Linked DNA regions of Arabidopsis thaliana. Each later gene encodes a partner of the first gene's protein in a complex. Each region holds a gene or a part of one and is shown in the gene's direction. Other genes may lie near its edges.

Region 1 (5,799 bases):
AATTTCTTGTTTGATAGTCCTAAAGATGATGCTAAGCTTAAGGCTACCGATTTTGGTTTGTCTGTCTTCTATAAGCCAGGTTTGATTTTTCTCTTTTGGTTGATTGATTCATTAATCTTGCAATTGGTGTTTTGGTTTGATGATGATTTTTTCGTTGCTTAAGGGAATTTTGCTTTGTATCTTCATTGAGTCTTTGAAAGTTTATGTGTTGATTGGAATGATTCTGCATTTGTGTATTTTGGCTTGTATCTGTGATTCTTTGAAACCTTATTGTTGGTGGTTCATCGCCTAATTGGTTTTAGTTTACTCTTCAGGACAATGTCTATAAGGTGTAGTTAGGGAGCTTGCTTTGGTTAGTTGTTACTCATTGAGGAGTCTTTGAATGTGTGGATTGGAACTATTCTGCATTTGATTAAGTCTTTGGTTTGGTTTCTTGTAGAATCAGGTTATTTGTGTTTTCTATGAATCGAAAATTGAAACAAAGTGGTTTCTTGATAGAAACAGGTTTGTTGTGTTTTATATGGATTGCAAATCGAAATAAGGTTTTCGGTATGTATAGGTTTGATGATCTGTTTGGTTGGATTCAAATTTGTTACCTTCTTAGAGGGAACATTGTATTGATCGAAATTAATGTGTATAGATGTTCGTCATTGAGGAGTCTCTGAAACTTAATGTGTAGATCGAAATTATTCTGCATTTGTGTGTCTGGCTTGAACCTTCTCATTAATGCCAGTTTATCGGCTAATTGGTTTTTGTTTGCTTCTTCAGGACAATATTTATATGACGTAGTTGGAAGTCCGTACTATGTTGCACCAGAGGTGCTAAAGAAATGTTATGGACCTGAAATAGATGTGTGGAGTGCTGGTGTTATCCTCTACATTTTACTCAGCGGTGTTCCTCCCTTCTGGGCAGGTTAGTCTACTAAAAAAGTAGAGTCTTTTCTATTTACAAGTTTCGAGTTTTTGTTTGAATGATGTATTCTTTTCTCTTGGGCATTGCAGAGACTGAGTCTGGAATCTTTAGACAGATATTGCAAGGGAAGTTAGATTTCAAATCTGACCCGTGGCCTACTATCTCAGAAGCTGCTAAAGATTTGATCTATAAAATGCTCGAAAGGAGCCCCAAGAAACGCATTTCTGCTCATGAAGCCTTGTGTATGTTCATTCTTTGTTGTTCATTTGGAATTAGCAACTGTTGTGAATTGTTTTTATGGTAAATAATGAGTATTGAGTTTGCTCTGAATGTTATATAGGTCACCCATGGATTGTCGATGAACAAGCAGCACCAGACAAGCCTCTTGATCCAGCAGTCTTATCTCGTCTAAAGCAGTTTTCTCAAATGAATAAGATTAAGAAAATGGCATTACGGGTATGAATTCGAGTAATATACATTCGCTTTTTCTTTATGTCCAATCCGTATGCTGATTTCTCTGAACACAGGTAATTGCTGAGAGACTTTCAGAGGAAGAAATTGGAGGTCTGAAGGAATTGTTCAAGATGATAGACACAGACAACAGCGGAACGATTACTTTTGAAGAGCTCAAAGCGGGTTTGAAGAGAGTCGGATCTGAACTGATGGAATCAGAAATCAAGTCTCTCATGGATGCGGTATGAAAGAACCAAAACAAACTCTTTCCTCTTTTCAAAAACTTTTGTTTCCGTTTAACATCCTCTGTGTGTTGTGGTCACAGGCTGATATCGACAACAGTGGTACAATAGACTACGGAGAATTCCTAGCAGCAACCTTACACATGAACAAGATGGAGAGAGAGGAGAATCTGGTGGCTGCATTTTCGTACTTTGACAAAGACGGAAGCGGTTATATCACCATCGATGAGCTTCAGTCAGCTTGCACAGAGTTTGGTCTATGTGATACACCTCTGGACGACATGATCAAGGAGATTGATCTTGACAATGTAAACCACTCTTCTTCTTCTTCTCTTTGTTTACCTCCTTCTTCAATGTTACTTTACTATAACCGAGAGCTTTTGAATTATGTAGGACGGGAAGATCGATTTCTCGGAGTTTACAGCAATGATGAGGAAAGGAGATGGAGTTGGGAGAAGCAGAACCATGATGAAGAACTTGAACTTCAACATTGCTGATGCTTTTGGAGTTGATGGTGAAAAATCTGATGACTGACTCATCATTCTTCCACAATTTCTGTTTTTTTTCTCTTTAATTTCGTTTATATTTTGAATTCTAATTTCTAAGGATACAAAAATATATTCTGGCTTGTTTTTTGCTTTCCTTTTTATTTTTGTACATGAGCAACTTTCTAAATTTTTATCCTCATATGGATAATTTTTGCTTCATATAAAAGTTTTTGAATTCCAAAGAAATGTGATTTAGGGATGGCGAAAAGAAACCGAACCGAACCAAAATCGGATTTCATAAGTAATTTTGTTATAATACAAACTGTGAAACTGTAGAAAATTCTTATAACAACCCAAACCAAATCTAAATTCTTATAACAACCCAGACCAAATCTCAAATTGAAACCAAATTTGGTGAATTTGTAATTAACCAATATTCAGAATTAATATAACTAATTAAATATAAAGTACATTTAAATACACTAAACACTATAAAGAGATTAAGAGTAGTTAGAATTATAATTTTTGTCAAAAATCGAACAAAACCAAAATTGATGTGTATATAATATATTACTTAATTGGAAAACCCAAAATCTGAACCGAAATAAACCGGTAAACCGAAATTGCAAGCTTAGAAATTAAACCAATTTGAAGACAGGGGTACAATGGTAATTTTCAAAGGAAGTGGATAGGATAACACTGCGGATTTATTCTCCGTCGAGCTCCAAAGTCTCGAGCTTAGAGCTCTCTCTCAGTCGAAAACAATGGCGTCTTCTTCAGCGACGCTCTCTCTCTGCTCTACTTTCTCTGCTCATTGCAATGTCAATTCTCGCCGTTCTAGCACTATCCTCTGTTCTCTCTCTAAACCTTCGCTTAATTTGGCTAAACCTCTGACTGGATTTCTTTCTCCTTCCACTGCGTCGACGTCTCGAACCGCATTCACCGTCGCTCCGAAATTCGCGGAATCAGTCGTCGAAGCTGAACCGGAGACTACCGATATCGAAGCTGTGGTGGTTTCCGATGTTTCGGAGGTTACTGAGGAAAAAGCTAAACGAGAAGAGATTTTCGCTGTTATTATGGTGAGCTTGTTGAATCATACGAAACAACAAATTCTCAATTTCGGTGTTTAGCTTTTGGAATTCGGAATTAGGTTTGGTTGATTGATGAATTTGATTTTAGAGTTTTGATAATGAGAGACTGTGTTTTTGTGGTATCTACTCTTAAGATTTAGGGTTTAGGTTTAACGAATGTTGACTTCTTAAGGGAGAGATTGTGTTTTTGTGGCATATACTCTTCAAGGTTTAGAGTTTGGCTTTGTTATAATTGATTTTGTTTCTCTCATTTGCAATCTCTGATTTAGCTTAGTGTTGTTCTCTTTGGTTTGAATAGGTTGGTGGACGCCAATACATAGTGTTTCCAGGGAGATATCTCTACACTCAGAGGCTAAAAGATGCAAATGTTGATGACCAGGTATATGCACATTTGCTTTCAATGACTATGTGATGTGTTCTTCTTTGTAAAAAACTCTGTGTACGAAATGGTATATCTGTGAAAAGATGATGTAACTATGGAAGATTGAGTAAACTTTGTGGCTTGTGTAGAAGTTCTATTCTTTTGCCTATGTTAACATTGTGTTAAGCTGTTCTCTGTTGCATTTTTGGTGATTCCTGAAGTTTTCATATTTTGTTTTTTCTCTTGTGCAGATTGTTCTCAACAAAGTGTTGCTTGTTGGAACAAAGACACACACTTACATTGGCAAGCCGGTTGTGACCAATGCCACTGTACATGCTGTTGTGGAAAGTCAAGTAAGTCAATACAAACGATTTCTTAAATTTCTGATTGGTGGTTTTGTATTTTCGACTATGTAGTCGCCTCTAAACTTGGAATAACCGGAATGTCATTTGTTGTTGTAGGGTTTGAATGATAAAGTGGTAGTCTTCAAGTACAAGCCTAAGAAGAAGTACCGTAGAAATATCGGTCACAGACAGGTATTGCTGAAAGTCCTCTTCCTTATATTTGAACTATGTAATGTTACAATCAACAGACTACTATCAGTTACTTGTTGTAATTTGCTATGGCTGATGAAACTGAAATCTCTTTGAAGTAATGACACTTATGTTGTGACTTATGTGTTGATATTGTAGCCGAATACGAGGATTAGGATTACCGGAATCACAGGGTATGAAGAGTATCCAGCCTCGCCCAATGTTGCAGTTGGAGAAGTAAATCTTTGACACAAAATGTTTCTTGAATGTTAAAATTTTTCTGATCTTCTCTATGTAATTTTGTAAGGACCCTGGTCATTTCATTTCTGCTGAGATTCCTTTTATTAATATGTACCTTTTGCCATTCTTTGATCACAAATTCTAAGTTAGTGTATGAAAACTTCAATATAGCTCATCCATCAATCTACGCATACTAATGAATTTTATAGAATAAAACAACTTCTACCACTTCAGTGGACACAATACAGAAATACAGAAATTGATATTGAGATTTTGAAAATGGACGGGACCGTCCATAACATTTTTCCGTCCGCAAAGGCACAAACACATGAAAGACATTATGGTGTTTTTTGATATGTTTTTGACAAAATTTTGATATGTTGTTGCGATTTTCTAGTAAAAGACATTATGTGCACCAATAGTGTGAGATGTATTATGGTGATTTTCTGATGAGGAATTGAGAAATGAGTTTTTTTTATTATATATATGCAAAAGATAGATTGTCTCCGATTATTAGTTTGGTTGTATACATGTTGGGTTGTAACTTTTCACTTCAGTGGCACAACATGTGAAGGCTATATACATGTTGGGTTGTAATTTTTTGCTTTCTTACTCTTGTGGTTGATTAGGTCCGAGTTTGGTTTACTAGTTTTGCAAACCTTTTTTTTTTTAAGTTTGGTGCAACAAAACCCTTTACCAAAAATATATAGGTTAAGATAATTTATAAATAACTAAATAATGACTACTTGACTATTAAAAATATATGCTTTAAAATAGAGTAAAATATATATTCATTTAGTTTATGAGATTCCAGTTTACTTTCTAACTTAAATTTCAGAGATTTCATAATATTTTCGATATTTTTCTTGTCCTTTTAAATATAATATTAGTCTTCAAAATAATGTTATTATATAGACTAGGTTTAAAATCTGAGAAATGATTATTAAATAGTAAAATAAATAAACAGCTTAATTTTATTAACAGAACCTTTTTTATCAGCCAGTTGGCAAATGAAAATATGAAAAAATTTCCATGCTGGCTACTATTTTTAATTAATTTTTACAGAAATTTATTTAAATTTCTTTAAAAGCAACTAAATGCTAAATTTATCTATTACTAACTAGATATTGACCCGCGGTATACCACGGGTTGATTATTTACGTTAGAAATTATATTATTTTTTTAATTCTATATCATCTATATTTAAATAATCAAGTTATATTTTGAATTTATCATCTTACTTTTTATATCTATTTATTTTTGATATTATATTTGTATTTGTTTGGTTTAATCTTGTTTAATTAAGAAAATCTGTTTATTATAAGCACATTATATCGGGAGTGTATTTTTATGGTGCGTTATTACGTGTTTGTTATATAATATTTTTTTTTGTTAAAATGAACGTATTTGGCTTAAAATAGTTTTCTTAACTAATATATACATGTTTTTTTATGGTGCGTTATTACGTGCGTTCTTAAC
Region 2 (5,582 bases), on another chromosome or scaffold:
ATCTAATCTTGTTAATATCTTAAAAGCCTAAAACTTTTCTCTTATTGATTGTTTTGGTTAATTTTGTTTCCCCTTTTTTTTGTTGTATTTACTCGATTGATTACTTCAATATGATTTTCTGGTTTGCTTGGAATTTAAGCTGGAAGGAACTGATTCGAATATTTCTTGCATAAGAAGATGTTTCAATCTACCTATCTATTGACTTCATGATTGGCTTTTGCTTTTATTGTTGATATCTCTTACTATCTTGATTTCACCTTTCGTTACCATTTGCGTACAAAAATTTAACAAAGCAATGAATGGGAATTTCTTATTTTTTGTATAGTCGTTTTAACTGCTAAACTATGTTAAGTTGGTCCACACAATTAGGTGCTGAAAATAAAGTGACATCCTAATAAGTGGAAACTTGACTTATGGAGCTTTTCGTCTGCTTAACATTAATTTTTATCATCTTATCTATTTGACACCTTCCAAACACTATTGGGGAAATGGCTTCTTCTCTTTTTTCCGGTGTAGGTTTAAGGTTTTAGATTTGAAGGCGGATGGTGAGGAGTTTGTGTTGATGAAATGGGTGATTTGAAGTTAAATCCTTTAAGTTCTTTTAGCCTTAAGTTCTTTTAGCCTGTCATTACAATATATGTTTCAGTTGTGATCTTTTGGTGCTCTCCAAGGTCTTAGGGAATCTCCGTGTCCCCTCTGGTTTCTTTCTTTGTATAAAGTCTCTGGAATTTAAAGATGATTTTGTCCTGTTTTCTTCGAAGAATTTGGCGAAGAAACATCAAAAGTTCACTATTTGCTTTACGTGTTATGCTTGTTTGACTTTGTGTGATCTAACTTTTGGTTGAAAACTAATGCTCATCTTTTGTTCTTTGGAATGTCTTGATCTGCTTGATTTTGAATGCTTTGTCACATTGTTTAAACAATTTGTTCTTTGTTTTCAGTTGAGGAAAACATGAATTCGACATCGACACATTTTGTGCCACCGAGAAGAGTTGGTATATACGAACCTGTCCATCAATTCGGTATGTGGGGGGAGAGTTTCAAAAGCAATATTAGCAATGGGACTATGAACACACCAAACCACATAATAATACCGAATAATCAGAAACTAGACAACAACGTGGTACTTTTTTACTTCATTGCTCTTCAACCTCCTGATGATAAATTTGTTTGGTCTGTTTTCAGAAATTTAAACTAGCTTTCATTTCTTGACAATCTTTTTTTTTTTTTTATAGTCAGAGGATACTTCCCATGGAACAGCAGGAACTCCTCACATGTTCGATCAAGAAGCTTCAACGTCTAGACATCCCGATAAGGTTAGCTATTCAAATACTTCTCTATCAGTTTCTTAATCATAAATTTCTACGCATCATATAGACTAAATCGTTATATCGTTACAGATACAAAGACGGCTTGCTCAAAACCGCGAGGCTGCTAGGAAAAGTCGCTTGCGCAAGAAGGTATGACTTCATTTTCTTCCCCTTGGTAAACTGTTTCTGTTTGCCTAATGAGTTGAGAGATTTGATTGTTTTTTTTTTTTGCAGGCTTATGTTCAGCAACTGGAAACAAGCAGGTTGAAGCTAATTCAATTAGAGCAAGAACTCGATCGTGCTAGACAACAGGTTAATGAAATGAAATCTAAATATATATTCGCTTTCTTTCGAGTTCCAAAATATAATGCAATTTCTGATTGAATATGAATGTTTTCAGGGATTCTATGTAGGAAACGGAATAGATACTAATTCTCTCGGTTTTTCGGAAACCATGAATCCAGGTTTTGAATCAAGAACAATGAGTCTTTTGGAAAAAATATAGAATTCAAGATTTTGATTGGTGGAAGCTTATTTGATTTGCAGGGATTGCTGCATTTGAAATGGAATATGGACATTGGGTTGAAGAACAGAACAGACAGATATGTGAACTAAGAACAGTTTTACACGGACACATTAACGATATCGAGCTTCGTTCGCTAGTCGAAAACGCCATGAAACATTACTTTGAGCTTTTCCGGATGAAATCGTCTGCTGCCAAAGCCGATGTCTTCTTCGTCATGTCAGGGATGTGGAGAACTTCAGCAGAACGATTCTTCTTATGGATTGGCGGATTTCGACCCTCCGATCTTCTCAAGGTATAAAACAAATAACAATCTAGCGTAATGTTTAATGAATAGAAGGAAACAAGCAAGATTACAATGTTTCAAATGTTTTTTTTTGTAGGTTCTTTTGCCACATTTTGATGTCTTGACGGATCAACAACTTCTAGATGTATGCAATCTAAAACAATCGTGTCAGCAAGCAGAAGACGCGTTGACTCAAGGTATGGAGAAGCTGCAACACACCCTTGCGGACTGCGTTGCAGCGGGACAACTCGGTGAAGGAAGTTACATTCCTCAGGTGAATTCTGCTATGGATAGATTAGAAGCTTTGGTCAGTTTCGTAAATCAGGTAAAATATATATATTCAAACTCATTTGAAAATACTATAGTATCAGTTTCTTGATTTTGTTTGTTCATTCTTAGGCTGATCACTTGAGACATGAAACATTGCAACAAATGTATCGGATATTGACAACGCGACAAGCGGCTCGAGGATTATTAGCTCTTGGTGAGTATTTTCAACGGCTTAGAGCCTTGAGCTCAAGTTGGGCAACTCGACATCGTGAACCAACGTAGGTTTGAGTTATTTTGTAACAACCAAATGAAGAAAATGGAAAGACCTCAAAAAATGAAGAATGAGTGCATCTGAAAACAGAGGACTACTCTGAATAAATAGAGGGGTTGCTGCTGATATTTATTTTTACTCTGCGGCGGAATTAGAAAATTTGAAAAACATCATGTATTGATAAGTTGTAAATATCAGAAAAAGGTGGGGGTGCAAAAATTTGTACTTTTTAGCTTTTGAAAGAGGCAAGTTTTTCGAATGTTTGTTTGATTTGTAAACAATTTCAGAATTATATAAACTTGGTTCCAAATCCCCTGTAATAATGTCGAGCTATCTGCAATTTGAAAACTATAGGGGCTTTACTTAATTTTACGTTTTGTGTGACACCTATTTGATTTTTTTTGATACGTTTGGACCAGTTTCGTAATTAGAGGTAAATAAAGGGGCAAATAGTAAGATATAAGAAAAGCCTTATCTCATAGAGTTTCTTCTCTTCATTATCCTCAAAATCGCTCGAGAGTGAGAACTCTGCTCTTCTTCTTCTTCCTCCGCCATAGCTACAATGCTTAGTCTCTCAATCGCTACGCCGGGGACGGCGGCGATTTTTCGTAGAGGAACTGCTTCGGCGACTTCAACTTCGTCTTCATTCCATGGTGTCAGAATCCAGCACCAGGTTTCTGCTCGCGTCCCCGCGGCGGCGACGATATCGTCGTCGTCTCCTAAACCGTCGGTGGTGATGATGTCGAAAAGAGAGGCGGAATTGAAAGAGATAAGATCGAAGACGACGGAGCAGTTACAAGAGGAGGTTGTTGACCTTAAAGGTGAGCTCTTTATGCTTCGTCTCCAGAAATCGGCAAGGAATGAGTTCAAATCTAGCGACTTTCGTCGTATGAAGAAACAAGTAAGCTTTTTTCTTACTCTTTAATGCAGAATTATTCCAAATTGTGAAATCTACTTTGTGTTATCTGGTCGATTTTGGCAGTCTTTGAAAGGGTTTAACAAAATTGGGATATGTGGTTTATTGATGGAAACATTGAAATCATCACCATGGAAAATAGGATTATTTAATATGAAGTTGTAGAAGATGTTAGCGAACTCTATAAGCAATGTTTTGTGTTGTTTGTTCTACACATTATAGTTGATTCTAAACTCTAACAATGGCAACATTGTAAGTTACTGTTTTGTGATATCTAATACTGTTTTTGGTAGGTGGTGGAATGGAATTAGAGATTTAATATTGAGTTCAATCCATCCCCTTTTATAGATTCTTGCACACAAGCTTCGAATATGTTCTTAGGATACTACGGTTTCAGTTAGACATGAATGTTGAGCTTTGCGATATCGTTTGTTTAGTCTTTTAAGTGTGCCAATGCACCAAACTAGCTTTAGATGAGAATTTACTTGCTTTGGTTTTACTGATTGCTGGGATTTCAATCAGACATGAATCTTGAGCTCTAAGTGACTAATCCACCCAACTTAGCTGGAGATGACACTAAATTCAAGTAGAGATTTCTTGGTTTTTTTGGCTTACGTCCGTCTCTTTTCTGGTACTGAAGATGTGATCTTTTGGTTGTGGGTGATTTAGGTTGCTCGGATGTTGACGGTTAAAAGAGAGAGGGAGATCAAAGAAGGGATAAAGAAAAGGTTGTCGAGGAAACTTGACAGACAATGGAAGAAAAGCATAGTACCAAGACCACCTCCGTCTCTGAAGAAACTTCAAGAAGAAGAAGCTGCAGAAGAAGCAGCTGAAGCTGCTAAATCTGCTTGAAAAAACCCGCTATTGATTTATGGTCTCTTCCTTGTTGTTTCCTCGAGATGTTGTTAATCTCTGTTATTTGTTGCTGAACCATCTTGTATTTGTTTTTCTTTTGGTGTAAACACTTTCCTTATCAAGTAGTTTACATGAATCCCTTAAAGATTGAAATCGTTCCTTCATGTTTCATCAGAATTATCATCCAATCTGACAAAGAAACTAGTAATCATTCGAAGTTCGAAAAACATCAAATAAGAATAAAGATAAATAAATAAAAGGAAAAATCCAAAACATTGGCGGGAAAATTAGGAATTTATTGAGGAATCAATGGTGGGCTTAGAAATAGAATGGTGCGTTAAAGTTTCTGTCTTTGTGTGCGTAGATGAGGTATTCGGTGGTAGATTCCGGCTGGGTTTGGATTTTTTTTCCGGCGAGTCTATGAGGTAAAGTGATATTTCTTACAGATTTTAAGGATTCAACTAATACGATTATGTTTCCGATGATGTTTCTTGTTTGGGCATGAAACCCTAGATTTCAGCGATTCACTTTCAAAATAAAATCCGTTTATGCAATCGAATGTAGTAGAAAAATCTCATCTTGGTAAATCTCATTGAGACTTCATTGTTAGTTTTTTTTGTTAGTCAACCAACAATGGGTTTGGTTTTTGTTTTACTATTTTTGTCCTTTTCTTATTAGTATATTGAAGATCTGGCCAATAATTTTTCTGACTCAGTGGTGTTGAAATCTTCTTTCAGAAGTGGGGACTAGTGATAAAATAATCTCAAATTAGTAGTTTCTTCTCTTTGTTTTTTCTTTTCTTAAAAGTTTGAATACGACTGATATAAACATAGTTCAATAAGAAGTCATGTTTCGTTTACTAGTAGTTTGCTATCGAGGCTGCTATATATGAGTTCTTGACAGGTATGTAGTCATTTCTGGAAGCCAACAAACCTGTGAGATACTGAGATGGTTGTTAATTTAATGTTTTTGATTTGAGATCGATGCTCTTGTTAACTAGCAGTAGTAGATTTTCACATGTTGATTTCTCATTACCATTGTAGTTGGATAACAAAACTGTTGATATAGCAATGATCGGACCACGATGATTCACCTAATACCTTATATTACAATTAAGTCAAAAGATCTATCTGCCCACAACTATTTTAAAT
Region 3 (5,624 bases), about 11 Mb from region 1:
CCGAGACAAAAGGTTTGGGAATGATAACACTTAAGAAGTAGAGTTTGATCTGGTGAAGGAGGATGATGAGTTGATGAACTGTATGCAGTCTTCTATGGCCTCTGATCGATGACTGTCATTGTTTATTGGGATGATTGGTGGCTGAGACCTCCCAGAAAAAGAAGAAACCTTCGACGGTGGAGATCTTTTCTTCTTCCTCATCACCACCAGACGCAAACCTTTTGCAAATTTGCATCCAAGATGCTTGATCAATTTTGCTGCTGTCACTTCTGTTTTCCTCGGTAACCTTAATCCGCAGCTTGTTGTGCATCCCGGACTCTTACCATAAGGTCCCTTGATAGCTGTTTGCTTAGCCGAAGCATCTCTCTGAACCGGTCTAGTGTTGAGGTTGGACCGTTTTATACCAGTAGCTGACATATCAAGAGAAAGATAGAGAGAGTGAGAGAAGTTTATGGGAAACAATATGAGGATAATGAGAGATATTTAACGGACTGGTGCTGAGAACAGTTGTGCTGATAGTTCAGGCAAATACGGGAAAAGACATGAAATGATTAATGATGTATATTATCTATAACATCATTACGCTTAGGCCATGATTAAGCACTCAAGACATAAACAAATAAACAACTAACAAAAAAGTGTAACTTCAATCTTATTTTAGACCCTATATATAAAAAGACTTGTAGTTAAAGTGGATCTACAAATTTATAAAGAGAACTATGCCCAAGAGCAAAAAGAGAAGACTAGGTTTAGTTTTTTCTATTTTTCTTTACGGTCCACAGAGGGAATAAACCCTTTGTTTAAGTGAAGAAAAAGGTTAAGCAACCATTTGGTATCATTCTTCTTTGATGATCACTCATGTGTGCACATAAGTTACATAACAATCTAAAAAAGTTTCTTTTTGACTCCAGGAGAGGCCAATATAATCTTACCTTTATGGATGCAGATTCCTTTCATGAGTCTGCGGCTACAATAAAAAGGAGGGATCAAGGAAAGAACAAAAAAACAAGTTAATGGTGGGTACAAGAATATGAGAAAGCATATAATAAACCAGGGAGTGTCAGGACATAAATAGAAGATCACACAATCTGGAGAATAGAGTGATTTTACATGTGAAAACATTCCATTGAGAACAGAACAATAATACCTGCATGATTGTCAGTGATTAGATGCAAATAGCATGAGATTGACTGATATGTATAGCAGGTTACCAAAATGCCAAAAGGGAAAAGAATGCAATAGCAAAACTGCTCTGTCTCATCGTTATAACAAGAGCACAATAGACTTAGCACCAACCGTGTACATACCATTTTACCCAAAACGATCAGAGAGAACATCTTTTCTGCACTGTGATGAGCATGATTCAAGACACATTAATCCAAACGCTCAATGAATATGGAGATCACTGGTTCCAAACGAAAATCACACATTGGTATCATCAAACATGAAATAAGAACCAAAGTCTTTAACCAGCCTGCAAAAATATTCGGCAGAATCGCAGGATATAGGACTGTTCATGTCTGAGACAGAGCATACTACCATACCTAATCAGAGCATGGTTCAAACAATAAATCAACAGTAAAGTGATTCACATTAGAACATTAACCCTAAGAACCCAATAGCTTGATTCAAGAAACTGAATGAAGGAAAGAAATGAGAGATGTTTTAGAAACATGTACAAAGGTACAGAAGGGGTAACACCGAATATCAGCTAGAAAGAAGCAACAAATCAATTCACAAACGAGACATACATATAGACATAACATATACTTCACCAAATTCATATTTTGTCATCAGCCATTTCCTGGTGTTCTAACACCAACAAATCTGATGATAAGTAAAGCCTTAGAAACGCCGCACACTTGTGAAATTCAACAACTTTTTGCCATCCTCAACATTCACGGCGATAATCACGGCCATAGCTGTAGTTTGGCCTAGCTCCGAAATCACTCTCAGACCTCTCTGCAGCAGCTCTCTCTTCCTCTAAGCTCAATCCACCCATCGTCTTCTGCAACTGCCTGTGATCATAAGGAGAGTAATCGACTGGTGCCGATGGACCATTAGGCACTCCGTAGCTAGACAATCGCGAGCCCATAGGTGGAGCTTGTGGCTTGTACTCGGTAACCAGAAAGGCATCAACGGGTGCTGAGGGCCCACTAGGCGGTGGACCGTAGTTAGAAAACCGAGGAGGAGCTAAAGGAGGCTGCTTGTGATCAATCGATGAGAAGGCATCAACGGGAGCAGATGGGCCACTTGGGAGGCCGTAATTGGAGGCACGATCGTACATTGAACGTGGTGGAGGAGGCGGATAATAATACCCGGAATAGTAGTGATCAGTGAATGCGTAAGGAGACGGAGACGGTGACTGTGAGAATTCTCTGTAGTCACGCTGAGGAGATGGAGCGGTGATCGGTGCTTGAGGAGGAGGAGGAGGAGGAGGGCTAGGGGAGTAATAATGGTTTCCTTGAGGGGCAGAATAGTAATCTAGTGGTTGAGATTGAGGACGTGGCGGAGGATGCTGCGGTGGAGGGATTGGTCTGTCTTTGATCGCGAGCTTCAAACGAATCTTCCCCTGTGGTCGACCCGATGGACGAACCAGCTCGAGCGAGTTGATCAATTCCGGAATCATTGACCCGTCCGAGTCAATCAAACGAGCTAGAGGAAACCTAACCGATCCGACGAGGGTTTTCGCCAGATCCGAAGAATTGGAATGAAAAACCTCGATGTTGAGGACCGATTCGTGGACAGATCGGGTGAGAGGAAGAGTAATCCGCTCGTTCCACACCGGTTTGATGGAGGAGGAATCATCGGAGCGGGTGGAGAGAGGGTGGTCTTGGTCAAGATACAGAACAACGTAGGGTTTCAGGTCACCGTTACGCCAGTTGACATTCTTCAGGTGCTTGGCAGAGACGACGGTGACAACCAGGTCGAGTGGCTCCGACGAAGTCATGAATACGGTGCGTTTCAAGACGAGACGGTGGCTTACGCGGTGGTCTTAGCTAACGTGCGCTCGTATCTCAAATATCTGTATCAAAGTCTCAGCTATCATCAACTATCATCGTTTTATCACAGAGTTTTATGTCTCAAAAAACCTGCTGGCTATATAAGAGGCTTTTGACTTTTGGAGTTTGACTCTTTCTTACTAGCGACAGCTGGAGTTATTCATGAACAGGATAGTTATATCCTTATGTCCAAACAGATGCATAAATTCTCACCAAGCACAAGATAGGCATTTGAAGAGTGGATAACACTTTCTCAGTCTTTCTTCTTCTTCTTCGTTGTGATAGGTCAGGTCAGGGAACAACAATGGCTTCTTCTGCAACAGCACCAAATTCGCTATCTTTCTTCTCATCTTCTCTCTTTTTATCCTCCTCTCACCAAATCCCTAAAACCTACATTTCCGTTTCAAAACTCGGCTCCGGCAGAGTCTCGAAGCCGCTTTCTGTCTCTTCCCAGCTAGCGACTCTACCGATTCTATCATTCGAAGGAGAGAAGGTCGGAGAGACGTATCTAGACCTCAAAGCGGCGCCGGAGGATACCGCGCGTGCCGTTGTGCACCGAGCCATCGTGACGGACCTGAATAACAAGCGGCGAGGTACTGCTTCCACACTGACTCGCGGTGAAGTTCGTGGTGGTGGAATTAAACCTTACTCACAGAAGAAAACTGGCCACGCGAGGCGTGGATCTCAGAGAACACCGTTACGTCCCGGTGGAGGTGTGGTGTTTGGGCCAAGACCTAAGGATTGGTCAATTAAAATCAATAGGAAGGAGAAGAAGCTAGCGATATCTACGGCGTTATCGAGTGCGGCATCTGCGGAAGGTGGTGCGATAGTGGTGGAGGAATTTGGGGAGAAGTTTGAGAAGCCCAAGACTAAAGATTTCTTAGCTGCGATGCAAAGGTGGGGATTGGATCCCAAGGAGAAAGCTATGTTCTTGATGATTGATGTGGATGAGAATGTGGCGAAATCGAGTAGGAACATTGGAACCTTGAGGATGTTGACGCCTAGGACACTGAATCTGTTTGATATTTTGAACGCTGATAAGCTTGTTCTGACTCCTGCGGCTGTGGAGTTCTTGAATGCGAGGTACGGTGTTGATGCGGTGGAGGAAGAAGATGACGATGAAGATGAGACGGAAGGTTAGTGTTTTCTTGAAAGGAACTGGCTTGTTGTCGAAATTTGATGTTTTGAATGTTGTGTTTGATCGTTTTTGTCTGGTTTTAATTTCTTGAAGAGGTAGAAATATGATGTGTTAATATGGAAAAGTAATTATTTGTTTGTGTTATGAAGGGTCAGAGGAAGCTTAAGAATGAGTAGCACCCGTAGTTCCAATTGCTTCAAGTGTGGCTTAATTATGAGTTTAATCTTGAGTACATCTTCTCACTCTCCTTGATGAGGTCTTCTCTTTCCTTTTTGTGTCACAACAAGAGAAATGTGTATTTACTTTTAGAGTTTTTCTTAAGAGATCATCCTCAATTTCTTGTCATACTGATTTTGTGTCCAACTCTCAATGAAGGAGTAAGGAGTGAAATTAGATATCATGAGTAACGTTGATTGTGTGTGTATCAGTTAAGATTGAGCAACAAAGATTGACTTTAGTCATCAAGTTAACAAGAAAGAGTGGCTATTATAAGCTTTAAGCGTTGATGTTCATCTTGGTTTTGAAAATCATGAATAGTCTCACACAAATCTGTTAACAACTTGCTAAAAAAAAGGATTAGCTAGAAAACTTAGGAAGTGTCAATAGTGTATGTTATTTACAGACATTTGATGGGTCTTGGTGGGCTTAAGAAGATAGCCCAATCTTTTGAAGAAAGAGATATGAGATGCAAAATCCATGAACTTTAAGGGTCAATTTCTGAACCAGTAAAAAATGTGGTTAAAAGTGTAAGAAAACAAGAATCTTTGGAAACATGTGTAAGAAAGCAACTAATTTAACTCCCGCCCTCTCTTACCAGTTTTCTATTTTGTCTTCTCCGTCCTTACCGTGTGTTCTGAAAACTGAAAAAGAACCAAAACGAAAATCTAAAAAAACCCTTGAAAAATCTATTTTTTATTGACTGGTTATTGTTTCAAATGAAAGCTTGACCTCTCTCTTATTGATCAATTTTCGCTTCTTCAATTAAACCATATTTGTTTTTCCCTTTCAAGCATTTTGATTCTCTAGGACAAAACACAAACCGCCATAGACAGAATGCTTTGGGTTATTATCTCTCAAAGTGTTCTGAGAATTTGAACTGTTTAAAACATGGGAATCGATGCCAAAGATGTCGGAACTCTGTTCTGGAAAATTCTCAGATTTTCCACGAACATCGTTTATAGAAACGTAAGGAATCACCCAGTTGTTTCTGGTGTTTCTGCAATTATCTTCCTCCTATACATTTTTCTTCCACGCCTTTTTTATTTCGTCCTTTACTCTTCTCCGTTAATCGCATGCTCTGTGTTTTATCTTCGGAATCATCCAAGTTTTAAGCTTTTGCATATCAAAACGGATAATTGGTTTTCACCATTTTCCCAAAAGAGATCTGAGGAGGAAGAAACAAGGAAGGCTGACTTAAAGCACCAACGAAGTGTTCGACGAAACGCTAGAAGGAAAGTTGAAGAGGTTGGGAAAGATTGGGACTC

The links. The genes of interacting proteins can lie anywhere in the genome.
Region 2: RPL21C (region 1) and AT5G65220 share a complex: the UniProt entries of both Arabidopsis thaliana proteins name them as parts of the 50S ribosomal subunit.
Region 3: RPL21C (region 1) and RPL4 share a complex: the UniProt entries of both Arabidopsis thaliana proteins name them as parts of the 50S ribosomal subunit.

The regions. Positions count from the first base shown.
Region 1 is NC_003070.9:13,205,918-13,211,716, forward strand, and holds RPL21C (Ribosomal protein L21), read left to right. Parts: upstream 1-2,765; 5' UTR 2,766-2,859; coding exon 2,860-3,174; intron 3,175-3,484; coding exon 3,485-3,565; intron 3,566-3,798; coding exon 3,799-3,900; intron 3,901-4,008; coding exon 4,009-4,083; intron 4,084-4,239; coding exon 4,240-4,329; 3' UTR 4,330-4,511; downstream 4,512-5,799. Other genes in the region: CDPK2 (calcium-dependent protein kinase 2), read left to right, coding at 1-79, 769-912, 1,002-1,154, 1,253-1,368, 1,440-1,607, 1,691-1,915, 2,001-2,141. UniProt on the Arabidopsis thaliana protein: This protein binds to 23S ribosomal RNA in the presence of protein L20.
Region 2 is NC_003076.8:26,058,079-26,063,660, forward strand, and holds AT5G65220 (Ribosomal L29 family protein), read left to right. Parts: upstream 1-3,086; 5' UTR 3,087-3,222; coding exon 3,223-3,561; intron 3,562-4,245; coding exon 4,246-4,428; 3' UTR 4,429-4,604; downstream 4,605-5,582. Other genes in the region: TGA1 (bZIP transcription factor family protein), read left to right, coding at 953-1,123, 1,236-1,316, 1,401-1,460, 1,545-1,622, 1,711-1,774, 1,857-2,128, 2,217-2,444, 2,519-2,671; AT5G65225 (uncharacterized protein), read left to right, coding at 4,852-4,856.
Region 3 is NC_003070.9:2,245,884-2,251,507, forward strand, and holds RPL4 (ribosomal protein L4), read left to right. Parts: upstream 1-3,083; 5' UTR 3,084-3,306; coding exon 3,307-4,138; coding exon of another isoform or gene 4,139-4,143; exon of another isoform or gene 4,144-4,289; coding exon 4,290-4,306; 3' UTR 4,307-4,646; downstream 4,647-5,624. Other genes in the region: AT1G07300 (josephin protein-like protein), read right to left, coding at 31-410, 933-1,122; AT1G07310 (Calcium-dependent lipid-binding (CaLB domain) family protein), read right to left, coding at 1,892-2,950; AT1G07330 (dentin sialophosphoprotein), read left to right, coding at 5,248-5,624. UniProt on the Arabidopsis thaliana protein: This protein binds directly and specifically to 23S rRNA. May play a role in plastid transcriptional regulation.